Linked DNA regions of Callithrix jacchus. The protein of the gene in region 2 purifies or fractionates together with the protein of the main gene of each other region. This does not show direct contact. Links are inferred from orthologs where the notes say so. Each region holds a gene or a part of one and is shown on either strand. Other genes may lie near its edges.

Region 1 (4,019 bases), on a different chromosome or scaffold from region 2:
AACAGATTTATCAGTCTTTGAGTTCTTTAATTAGAATCACTTATAAGGTATATTTAGTACTGAAGAGCAGAATGAGTTTTTTTTTTTAAATCATGATAAAATTTTGTATTATGGTGGTCAGGCAGCTGAATTATAGTCATTTAATTGGCCATTTTATAAGAAATGGTTTAAGACTACATTGTCAAATAATTTTTTAACTGTCTGACATATTGGAAACAACATCGACCAATAACTAACCTATTAAACTTGTTCATCCTCTAGCAAATGGGGAGGGCAGATCATGTGGCAAAAGAAGGCACAATTGTAAAATTCTCCTTGTAATATGAGGATATTCCTATGGGAAATACTACTGCTGCTTAAAAGATTTTTTGAAACCTACACTCATGGTTGAAAGCCCTGTGTTGTATTACTTTATTATAATAAATATGTAAGACGACAGGAGATAGATGTATAACCTATAGATATTTTGTATATTCTTCACTTGAACAAAACACATTTATTATAAAAGTTAACTTTAAATTCTATAGCCCAATTATGTTTGGTTAGCTTATGTTAAAATCATCTATATATTCCAACAGAGAAAAAGCGCCCAGTAAATCAGACTTTGTAGATCAAATAAAAGTCTGCCCTGCCCCATGGTGCAATGGGCAGTTTAATTTAGCAGCAAGGTTTTATGTACAGGGACCTGCAACAGTTACTCTTTAGCATCAGTTGTACAATGTTGGCATTGTCATTATGCTCTCTGCTCCCCTTCTACAGCACTGAACCATTTGTATTGCTCTCTAAACATATATCGCACAGAATTTAGTTTTTCTCCCTTTTTCATTGTTTAATAAAGTTTGGTTATAGCATCATGCTTAGCCAGTAGGTGTCACTTGTAGCCTGATTTATCCTCAAGATTCCTTTAAATGTAAGCTTTGGATTAAATTATTCACAACCAATTATTGGATTAAGTTGTATACAACCAATTCCCAACTTTAGAAAGCTACATATTTAAAAATCAAGTTTGTCTTGATCACTTAAAATGAGGAATAGATGTATAATTCTACACAGTGTATGTGAAGTGTGTAGGCAGCAACATTGGCTCCTAGAGCTCCGCATGTTAACATATATAGATAGGATACCAATTATAACATCCTATGACCTAGAAACAACCTTATCTGATGCATGCCGGGGATCATCTTCTTAAGGCATGATGGGAGGGAACTCACCCTAGAGCATTGAAAGTATTGTCAACATGGCAGCTGAGGTGCTTTCTTTGCTGGGAAAAGCTGGGAAGAGACTGGCAGAATGGCGACTTCAGGAGTTAATACGTCTCCAGGTGATGAAGTAAACAGGTTCAGTTTATCTTGTGAGAGACGCACCCAAAGATCAGTCATAACTGTGAGACGGTTTCAAACTAGCCAGGCACAGGTGTTTTGTGTTGGTATACGGCATCTATATAGTCATCTTAGGTTTTGTTTTGCTTTTCTCAGTTTTAAAATGTATTATAATTACTGTATATTTGAGCTTAGGGTTTGATTGTGCAAGTCATTTCCTATTGAGTAGACTGCTTGTTATTTGGAGTATAACAATTTGAATCAGATGAGACAAGTGCTGTACTAATACATATATTTCACATGATTATTTTGTCTTGCCGACTGATGAAACGACTCTTAATGCCTTTATTTTCTCAAGGTATTGGCATTCTCTAAGTTTTAATGTTAAAGTATAAAGTTAATTGTAATGCCTCCTGTAAAGTTTGATTTCATTTGCAAAGTGAAACCATTCTTACTCAGTCTAGCAGTTGAACTTTTTCTTGTATGTTTTACAATCATTTAGAAGTTTTTAATAGTGTGTGAAAGAAAATAAGATTTTAAGGAAGCACTCCACCCCTTTATAAAAGTCTTTGTGATGCAACATCTATTTAGAAATAGGATCTTTTAAAGTACAGCAGGTATTCTTATCTGTTTAATCTCTTGGAACTTTTATAATTGTTTTCTGATTTAATGTTTACTAGTCTGTAACTAATCTTTTTCAGAAGGCACATTGTCTCTTTATTTTTTATTTAATTGCTCCTAATGTGTAATTTGAAAATGAGACTTTTAAAAATTAGCGCTTATATAGTTAACTGTTTATTTTCAAATTGACTTAAAAACTTTTTGTAAGATCTTATGTCAAGGACAAAGTTAATTTGTCACTACTGTGTGTTTCAACTTAGCAGATGCATGGATCCTTGCTTGGTTTAGTTCATTTTCTAAAACTTTTGAAAAAATGTCTTGGCATTAACCAACCGCAGTTCAGTAGTTTTTCTCTTTTATTCTCAAATTGGTGTTATGTCACATGCTTCTGGGAAAGATGATTTCTTCTTTTAAATTCAGACTTTAATTAATATGTAATGTTTACATTGTGTACTAGAGCTTAATGTATCACTAACACTTTTTGTGTTTAACCTATCTCAGAGTGTTTGAAGTAACTGGAATGAAATACTTAACATTAAACCTCACCTCAGAACAAAAAAATAAAATAAAATTGAATCTGATGTTTCACTAAAACTTCTAGTACTTACTGGACATCTAAAGAGCCCCCCTCTTCCCACACATAATGTCTTAGGATATAGGACAGATCAGTGCTCAAAATTGTTGCCAGTATTTTTTCATACCCAAAGTTTGTCACTCTCACTTATTTAGATTATACCAGTGTGACCAGGATCACAGACAATTGAGCTAAGAACATGGACTTTAAAATCAAATCGACCTGGGTTCAGATCTCTACTCAGCTGTGCTATCTTGGGCAACTTAATCTCTCTGAGTCTGTTATATCCTTAAAATGAAGATATTACCCCAAAGGAGTCTTCTGAAGGATTAAATGAGATAATATATCCAAAGGACTTAGCACAGTGCCTAGCCTGTAGTAAATGCTCAATACCTGGTTATTACTAAGATTCCCATATGGAATGGTAAAGTTCAGCAGGAGCAATTAACTATCCAATGACTGAAGATAATACCCTGCCTTTTTCTGGCTGACATACAAATACGTTACTTGATCAAGGAAGCACCACTCAAAGTTCATGTCCTCCTAATGGTGGGATAGCAGTAACACTCTTCATACTTGGAAGGACCACATGCCTTTGAAAGTATCAGTGAAAATGCACATAGTGTAAATTGTGTAACCTTCATGCTTTTATACCACGCATCTTTTCTCTCTGTGCAACAGGCAGTTTATCCAGTTTTATGTTTTCTATTAAGCAACTAACAACATGTTCAAGTTTATTTTAATTACCAGGAATTTTAAGAGTATAGTATTTCCTAGGATGTTGGCATGGACAAGTGATTGCTTTTTAAGATGATTAAAGTTAGCTACCTTAACGTTATTGTACTTGCATATATTTTTACCTTATAGAATTAGAATTCAGTGTACATTCTTAATTCATTAAACAATTTTACTGACGCTAATAAACAAAGGCTCTGTTCCAGTCACAGATTCAGCAGCAAATGAGACAAACTCTCTGCCTCGTGAAGCTGATATTCTAATAGGGACATAGACAGTAAACATGAAAAATAAAACACATGGTATATTAGTGAAAATACTAAGAAAATAATAATGCAAGTAAGGGATAGAAAGTGTGGGAAAACAATTTTAAAAGAAGGTGGCTGGAGAAATGCCTCACTGAGAAGGTGTTCTTTGAGTAAGAAAAAGAAAAGGAGGCAAGAGAATAAGCTATGTAGGTGTCTTGGAAGAGCATTCTAGACAGAGAGAACATCAAGTACAGAGGTCATGAGGCAGGAACAAAAGGGACTACAGAAGAATGTTCCAGCGAAAGCATACTAGGAGGTAAAGTCAGACCCTTTAGGGGTAGGGGAAAGATTATCTAGTCTTGTACGTTACAGTAAGGACTTTAGCTTATATTCTGGGTGAGTCATATGGGGATTCTTTGAAAGATTTTGAGCAGAGGAATGGTATGATCTAACTTACATTTTGAGAATAGTACTCTGGCTTCTGAGTTTAGAATTTATAGTAGAGGTACAAAGTGGAAGCCG
Region 2 (3,511 bases):
TCACCAAGTGGCATGCCACTGGTGGCTCCAGTTAGTCCAGTTGGAAAGGGAAAATGTGGAAAAGAATTCTGGCTCCAAGCCCAAGCCACATTTTTAAATACAGCTTTACCAGGAAGAAAGCAGAATTCTGAACTATGCTGATCATGTGCCTATTTTTCAACTGGTTCAGCACTCAGAGGAGTATGAGCATAATACTAACTCCTAACTTTCGATTCCAACAAAAAAAAGGGATTACAACCCCAAAAAGAAGCCAAGTCTCTGGGGTCAGGACTAGAAAGGCCTATTGATGTGGACACCCACCTTATACATGAAGGGTGAGAACCAGGCTGGCATGAAGACGAGGTTGCATAGGCGTGTGGTTGAGCAGTGCTGATCGATGCTGGCTAGCAGGGCCACTTCACCCAACTTCCCATGCCCCACAATCTCCACGGGCACCTTCAGGACGATTTCACCTTGCTCTTCGTACACACCTGGGAAGAGCACGATTCGGTCATACAGGCTGGCCATGGCCAAGGCACTGCCCAGGCTGTCAAACTCGTGGCCTGGCCCAACACTCAGGGTACGTCGTTCCTTCCTCCGGCGGAAAAGAGAAAAGCAGACGGAAGACTCCAAGTCCAAGGCATTCTTGGTCCATGTCTTAGAGGCAAGGTAATGCTGCTTGAAGGCTTCTCTCCAAGACTCAGGCTCCACATCTGGCTGGTTGGGCCAGTTGGGATGGCGGCACTTGGTGCAACCCAGACACAGCTGCCGCCAGCGGGTACTGTCAAGACTGAGGATCAGTTCATACCAGGCCCTGCATACCAGGCTGCAGCGGCCCAGGTCAGGAAGGTGCAGGTAGGCTAAGATCATGCGCCATAGCTCCAAGGGGAGGCCACCAGTCTCCATGGTCACCTAGGAGACAGACACAAAACAAAAAAGGTTTCCATCTCTCCTCCTTACCAGTCCCTTTCTTAAAATACCTCATTGCCATTTTCTGAGCAAGTAAACAAGGTCCAGTCAGTCAGAGGACTCTATCCTTTCAAACTGAATCCTACCCTAGAGTTTTCCACCAGGAATTAGCTGGAAAGACTCTCTTTTCTCTATGGTCAGATGCTATAAGGATATGACTCCAGAACTTCCAGGTTCCCCACCTTGTAGAGAAAACCTTGTGATATCAGAGCCAAACAGAAAGATGACATTTCAAAAAGAGGAAGAAAAAAAGGTGAACACATGTGTGTGTGTCCTAGTAGTACTGATTCCAGATTCTTAAAGATGCCTTGGAATCTACAGTGCTTCTTTCAATTTTGTAGGATATCCCAATGGCCTTCTACTAAATCCCCCTTTTGCTGGTTTGATTTGGGTTTCTGTGACTTGCAACTAGACAAGCCTGTACTCCTAAGAGGGAACCCACCTTTGGCTGTTAGAGTCCTAGAGCTCTGGATCCCCTATACTCTCAAGGAAGAGACTTCTATCTCCTGACACTGACAGGAATGAGAACTGAGGCAGTGACTGTCCGTCTGTCTGTCTCTGCTCGTTCCCAGATCAAGTAATTACTGTTTCCCCAAGTGGGACAGCCCCAGGAAGGAACTACTACTGAGTCAGATGCTGTGGGTTTTGATCCGGCTCTGCCATTGGTTATCCTGAGCAGTTATTCGTTATTCTGAACACCCATGGGCTGGCTGCCCAGCTATCTACCTACTTGCTTTTTCTGGAAAACTCTTCTTCTCCTCTACCAGTGATTTATATCACATGATTACAGAGGTAGGGTTCCCTGCAGATGTATGTGTAGAACAAAGGATCCCTAACCCCTTGACTGCAACTGATTGGACTCTGGATGGTTCTAATGGGGCCATCAAGACCTTTTCTAGGAGAACAGGAGTTGCAATTCTAGAATCAGGTTGGCCTCATTCCTGAATGGTGGGGAATGAGTGGCCTTTTTCCTTAGGAATAGCCTCTGGTTATCATTTTCCCCAGGCTGGGGCACAGGAGGAGGCAAGACAGAAGAAGCTGATCTACAATGAGAGAAGAATGAAAAAAGCAGAGAAAAGGGCAGAAGCAAGGGGCATCCAGTTTCTCTATAGCACTGCAGGTCATGGCTCTAGCCTACTCTCAAAGCTCAGCTTTATCTTTGCCCTTTGAATGTATCAGATATCCCTGATAATGTAAGCCAGCTTCATTTATTTGTTTTTTAAACCTAGTTCAAGCCCTCTCATTGATGAGTGTCATTTTTCCCACCTAAAAAGCAAGGGAGCCAAATAGATGACTTAGAGCAACTTCCAAGTCTGAAACCCTATAGTCTCTAGACAACTAGAAAGTAGGACCAAGGCTGGACACAGTGGCTTACACCTGTAATCCCAGCACTTTGGGAGGCCAAGGTGGGTGGGGAGGATCACCTGAGGCCAGGGGTTCAAGACCAGCCTGGTCAACATGGTGAAACATCATTTCTACTAAAAAATACAAAAATTAGGCTTAGCGCAGTGGCTCATGCCTATAATCCCAGCACTTTGGGAGGCTGAGTAGGGGGTGACTAGAGGTCAGGAGTTGGAGACAACCTGACCAATATGGTGAAACCCTATCTCTACTAAAAAATAATTAGCTGAGCATGGTGGTGTGCACCTGTAGTTCCAGCAACTCAGGAGGCCAAGACAGGAGAACTGCTTGAACCCGCCTGGGAGGTGGAGGTTGCAGAGAGTCGAGGTCACACCACTACACTCCAGCCTAGGTGACAAGAGTGGGACTCTTTCAAAACCAAACCAAACCAAAATTAGCTAGGCCTGGTGGTGGATACTTGTAATCCCAGCTACTTGGGAGGCTGAGGCAGGAGAATCATCTGAACCCGGGACGTGGAGGTTGCAGTAAGCTAAGATTGCTTTACTATACTCCAGTCTGAGTGACAGAGTGTGACTCCAACTCAATCATTATCAATCATTGCGACTCCATCTCAATCAATCAATAAAGTAGGACTAGAAACAACTGACCTTCATCAAATTGTTAACCTCTCCAGAGCCTTGGGTATTCTTGCAATTTTATGAAAATGCTAATCATACTTGTTAGTTATCTAAGCCCCAAGAAGGCTAGGAGCACAAATGTGTGATTCAGTATGAAAGAAATGCTGAGCTTCGTCAAGACTGGTGTGGCTTTAATTCTACAGATTTGTACTGGAACCCAGATATGTAGGTTCGTCTCTAGTGATCACCAGAGAGACTTTACTAAGTCCTCAGCAACAGCAGAGAAAAGCTGGGCTCTGGATTAAGTATTACAGAGAAAAGGCTGGGCTCCTGATATCTGCCACTTCCCCAGATGGATGCCAGTTCATTTATGGCAGCTTCTATAACACTGATGCTTCCTGTTCTTCATTTATTTCTTTAGCTATACTTTCTCAGGTTTGTTTTTCCCTGAGACAGAGTCTCATTCTGTTGTCCAAGCTGGAGTACAGTGGTGCAATCTTAGCTCACTGCAACCTCTGCCTCGCAGGTTCAAGTAATTCTCCTGCCTCAGCCTCCTGAATAGCTGAGATTACAGGTGTGTGCCA
Region 3 (4,047 bases), on a different chromosome or scaffold from region 2:
AGGAATCCAGGAGAATACCAATTAAAACAAGATCTCATTTGTTGTGCAAACTGGCAAATAAAAAAGACTGACCTAGTCAACAGGTCAACTAAGTACTATCAATATTGTTGGTGGGAGAACATAATGGTGCTCTTTTTGTAGTGATAAACTATTCTTTCAGAAACAGATACTCTGAAAGTTCAGAAAATCTATTTACCCAATAAAAAGTGGACAACAGTCAGATAGTTCCTTACTAAAACATTTTATCTTTTTTTTTTTTGAGATGGAGTTTCACTCTTGTTGCCCAGACCGGAGTGTAATGGCTCAATCTTGGCTCAAAGCAACCTCTGCCTCCTGGGTGCAAGCGATCTCCTGCCTCAGCCTCCTGAGTAGCTGGGATTGCAGGCATACACCACCACACCCAGCTAGTTTTGCATTTTTTGTAGAAACAGCATTTCTCCATGTTGGTCAGGATGGTCTCGAACACCCGACCTAAGGTGATCTGCCCACCTCAGCCTCCCAAAGTGCTGGGATGAGAGATGTGAGTCACTGCACCTGGCCAACATTAATTTTACTTTTTCCTGAAGGTAGCAGCATATCCTAACGTTCCTGCTTTTCTTTTCTCTCTTACTCCCCAGATGCCCAATAAAGACTACCAGAGGATGAGCACGCCACTGCTCTCATGCTAACTTTTTGATGTGGCTGCTTCCCTTGTGCTTTAGGATTTAATTAGCTCAGGTCAAGCTCTCCCTGAAAGCCTGTTTCTGGGTGCACTGACATCACTGAATCCGTTGATTCACTTTTCCTTCTAGTGGGCTGACACAGATTCTGCTTTCTACTCTTTCCTGTATTTGTCTCTTACCCTCTTTCTCAACAGGTTCAAGAGCCAAGACTGAAAGCGAGAAGCTCAAACTTCTTTGCTTGTTCAAAAGCCATTAAAAAGACCTTTCTTCTTTTCAGCAATATGGTTTTTCCAATCAGATGAAAACGCTGCTTCTGAAACCTCTCAACCTCTCAATTCTCCATAGTCTCTGGTTTACTGCCTACACTGCATGTTAAGTAACAATATTATTACATTGTTACTTGTTAAGTAATAACATAATTCAGGGAAAATAAAATCCATGTCATAGCTTTTCTAGCACTTTAGTCATCCCTATATACCTATATGATCCATTATGGAGAGAAACACAGAAAGGCATATGGAGGTAAAAGAGGCTGCCACTAAACCACTACATAAAAGTAACTTAAAGTTTATCACAAACGGTAGTATGCAAAGGGGATACAGCCTTTATTTTTTTAAAAAGCAAAGATCAATTTCCATTTGAAAAATCTCACTTGTACTTTTTGCACTGTGATCTAAAATGTATTACCAACTTGGTTTCTGATCATAGCAAAGCAATTAAAATTTGTAAGGATGACATGGACAATGTGAAAACACAACAGCAGACCAAGAGAACAGTGCACTAAACCTCCAAGGGAGGAGCCCAAAAGTGATGACTACCTTTTCACCGCGGGGGGAATTTAAGTTCGTTCCGCACTATAGATTACAGACAAGATGTATGAAGAGATTAAAGTCGGCAGGAGAATGGAAAATGTGAAGATACAAGTTTGCATTTTTTTCATCAGCATCATATGGTGACAGCCTAACACACTCGACGAAAACACAAAGCTTCCTTGCCACATCGAGGAGAGGTTGCAAAAGTGGCACCACAATAGGCCCGAGGCAATGATTTTTCTACCCAACTCTAGTCTACCGTGGCCCCAGCCACATCACACCTTTGCTGGACAGCTCCACCACCGCCAGGCGTTAACCACAACGACAGGAGCCAGCAAAGACACCTCGGCTAGGAGTCCCAGCGCGGCACCCCGCACCCAAGCCTACGGTCCCCATCTAGCTGGAAAGAAAACCGAGGCGCTGAGGGGGAGGCAGTAACCAATGCCTCAGAAGGCCAAGAGTGTTAAGACAAGGTCGATCTTGGATTTCTGTTTCCCCACATCCCCCAACTACTCCAGCCCTGGAAGAAGCCACAGGTTTGGAAAAGAAGTTGTGGAAACCAGACGGGGGTGGGGTGCGGTGCGGTGGGGGACCTAAGAGAGTTTTAAAAAGCACTGGTAATTGTCCCACACAAGGTCGCCCGCTCCAAGTCACCGTTCCGCGCTCCCCAGGTGGGCTTCCCGCCAGAGGGCTTCTAGTTTGAGAGATCAGCCCACCGCGCCCCCTCAGCCCTTCCCTGCGGGCCGCAGCTCCCTCCCGGCCTCTGGGTCCCGGCCGGGGATCGGAATCCAGCCGGCCTCTCTGACAGCGTTTCCGAAGCCCGGCGCCTCTAGCAGCCCCGTCCCCCAGGCTCCACCGTCCCCACCCGCCACCTCCCGGGGCTCCCGTCAACGTCCCAGTCCTTCCTCCGGACGCCCCTGGGGCCGCCTCTCGCGCCCGGTCCCTCCCGGGGCCGGGCAAGCTGTTCCTTTCCTTTCCCCTCCCGCGGCCCTTCTTCGGTGGGGCCCACCTGGCGCGGCCCCCGCCCCCTGCCAGTCTCCTCAGGGAGCGGCAATCTCCCAAGTCCTCCCGGCCCCGCCCAGCTCCCGGGCGGATACAGTTTGAAGCCCCTCAGGATCTCCCTGGCTCGCTCGTCCTTGGTTGACATGATGCGGCAGTCGCCGCCCGCGGCTTTCTCACTCTGGTTGGCGGAGCCTCGTAGACGGTGCCCAGGAGCCGAGGATGGAGCCGCAGTCCGGCCTGGAGACCTCGGGAGAGCAGCAGCAGCGGCCAAACCCGGACCGGCCTCTTTCTCCCCTCAGCTCCCGCTCCTGATCCCTTCTCCTTCCCCCAAGCCTCGAGTGCCCTCCTGGAACCAATGGAAAGCCCGCCTTGGCAATTGGCAACCCAATCAGCCAATAGGAGCGCGCAGCGGCTTCGCAGGGGGACTGTGAACGTCAATGGGAAGGGCCCACCCCGGGAAGTCCCAAAGGACATAATATTCATCTGGTGTTGTTGCCTAGAGTTTGTCCCAGCGGAGGGTTGCCTTCGGATATGCAGAGGCTTTAGGGACCTGCTCTAGCCGCTGAGCACACTAACCGGCAGCTAGTTGCACTGTGAGACGGCAGCTAGTTGCACTGTGAGATGCGACAGACTACATTTCCCAGCATGCCAGCGGTGCACTCAGGGACCACAGATCCCAGCGCACTACAAAGAGGCCTGGGGACTACAAATCCCAACATCCCCTGCACTCAGTTCCTCTGTAACTTAAGGCTCCAGTGTGCCGCGCAGTGTGCGCAAATTCATAAACCCGCCAGCTGAGTTGGTGGTTTCGGAATCCTGAGACTTGAAACCAGGCGGGAAGACCCTTCTCACCCTCCGAAGAAGATGACACCCGCAGAGAGTCACCTTCTGTTTACATGGAACTCAGACATCTTCTGCAAATCATGGTAAGGCACCAAACAACAAACAAAAACACTGATTGAACTGTGAAAGATAACAAAATGACTTCTTCAAGTCGTGCTTGTTTGTTGGTCTGAGGCGTCTTTTACGTGTTTTTCAGGGGTTTTTGCTGTATTCCTGCTTTGGATCGTGAGAGCTATGGGTTGTACACACGATATCAATACAGAAAGGGACTTTGCTAATCTACACCCTGTTTTTATGTATGAGGAAACTGAGGCCCAGAGAGGCGAAGGGATTGGTCGCAGATCACAGCAAGTTCGGGCGGAGTTAGAATTCGGCCCTAAGTCTGCTGACTTGCAGTCCGGACTCTGCACCACACTAAGGAGGTGATATTTTTAGCAGGATGGCAATGTGAATTCTTATTCTCCTTGAACGGTTTTCCCATCCAGTGTTGAAACACCCAGAGATTAGGTAGCATTTATTTGGTGATTTCTTGTAAGTAAGGGAGTGTGATATTTGTATATTTTCAGCCTAGGTATGACTTGGTGTTTTGTTCTTTGCCACTCAAAGTGACATTTAACGTGATTTCAGGAAGTAGGTAAAATTGCAGTGTGAGCCACGGTTTCCTTGGAGACCTCCTATGTCCTTCTCTTGGCCTTCCTTCCTCTGCCTGTCCTCGCTTTCACCCATCT

The links. Proteins that work in one complex are often made in the same cells at the same time.
Region 1: the proteins of FBXO10 (region 2) and ACSL4 purify together in Homo sapiens (affinity purification with western blotting; 3 studies listed by BioGRID, with this or other methods). This does not show direct contact. The link is inferred for Callithrix jacchus from reciprocal best matches to the Homo sapiens genes FBXO10 and ACSL4.
Region 3: the proteins of FBXO10 (region 2) and PDE6D purify together in Homo sapiens (affinity purification with mass spectrometry; 3 studies listed by BioGRID and IntAct, with this or other methods). This does not show direct contact. The link is inferred for Callithrix jacchus from reciprocal best matches to the Homo sapiens genes FBXO10 and PDE6D.

Annotation. Positions count from the first base shown.
Region 1 is NC_133524.1:106,114,339-106,118,357, reverse strand, and holds the start of ACSL4 (long-chain-fatty-acid--CoA ligase 4), read left to right. Parts: upstream 1-1,214; 5' UTR 1,215-1,237; coding exon 1,238-1,321; intron 1,322-4,019. UniProt on the Homo sapiens protein: Catalyzes the conversion of long-chain fatty acids to their active form acyl-CoA for both synthesis of cellular lipids, and degradation via beta-oxidation. Preferentially activates arachidonate and eicosapentaenoate as substrates.
Region 2 is NC_133502.1:144,508,108-144,511,618, forward strand, and holds part of FBXO10 (F-box only protein 10), read right to left. Parts: intron 892-3,511; 5' UTR 886-891; coding exon 301-885; intron 1-300. UniProt on the Homo sapiens protein: Substrate-recognition component of the SCF (SKP1-CUL1-F-box protein)-type E3 ubiquitin ligase complex. Mediates the ubiquitination and degradation of BCL2, an antiapoptotic protein, thereby playing a role in apoptosis by controlling the stability of BCL2.
Region 3 is NC_133507.1:153,232,625-153,236,671, forward strand, and holds the start of PDE6D (retinal rod rhodopsin-sensitive cGMP 3',5'-cyclic phosphodiesterase subunit delta), read right to left. Parts: upstream 2,806-4,047; 5' UTR 2,622-2,805; coding exon 2,572-2,621; intron 1-2,571. UniProt on the Homo sapiens protein: Promotes the release of prenylated target proteins from cellular membranes. Modulates the activity of prenylated or palmitoylated Ras family members by regulating their subcellular location.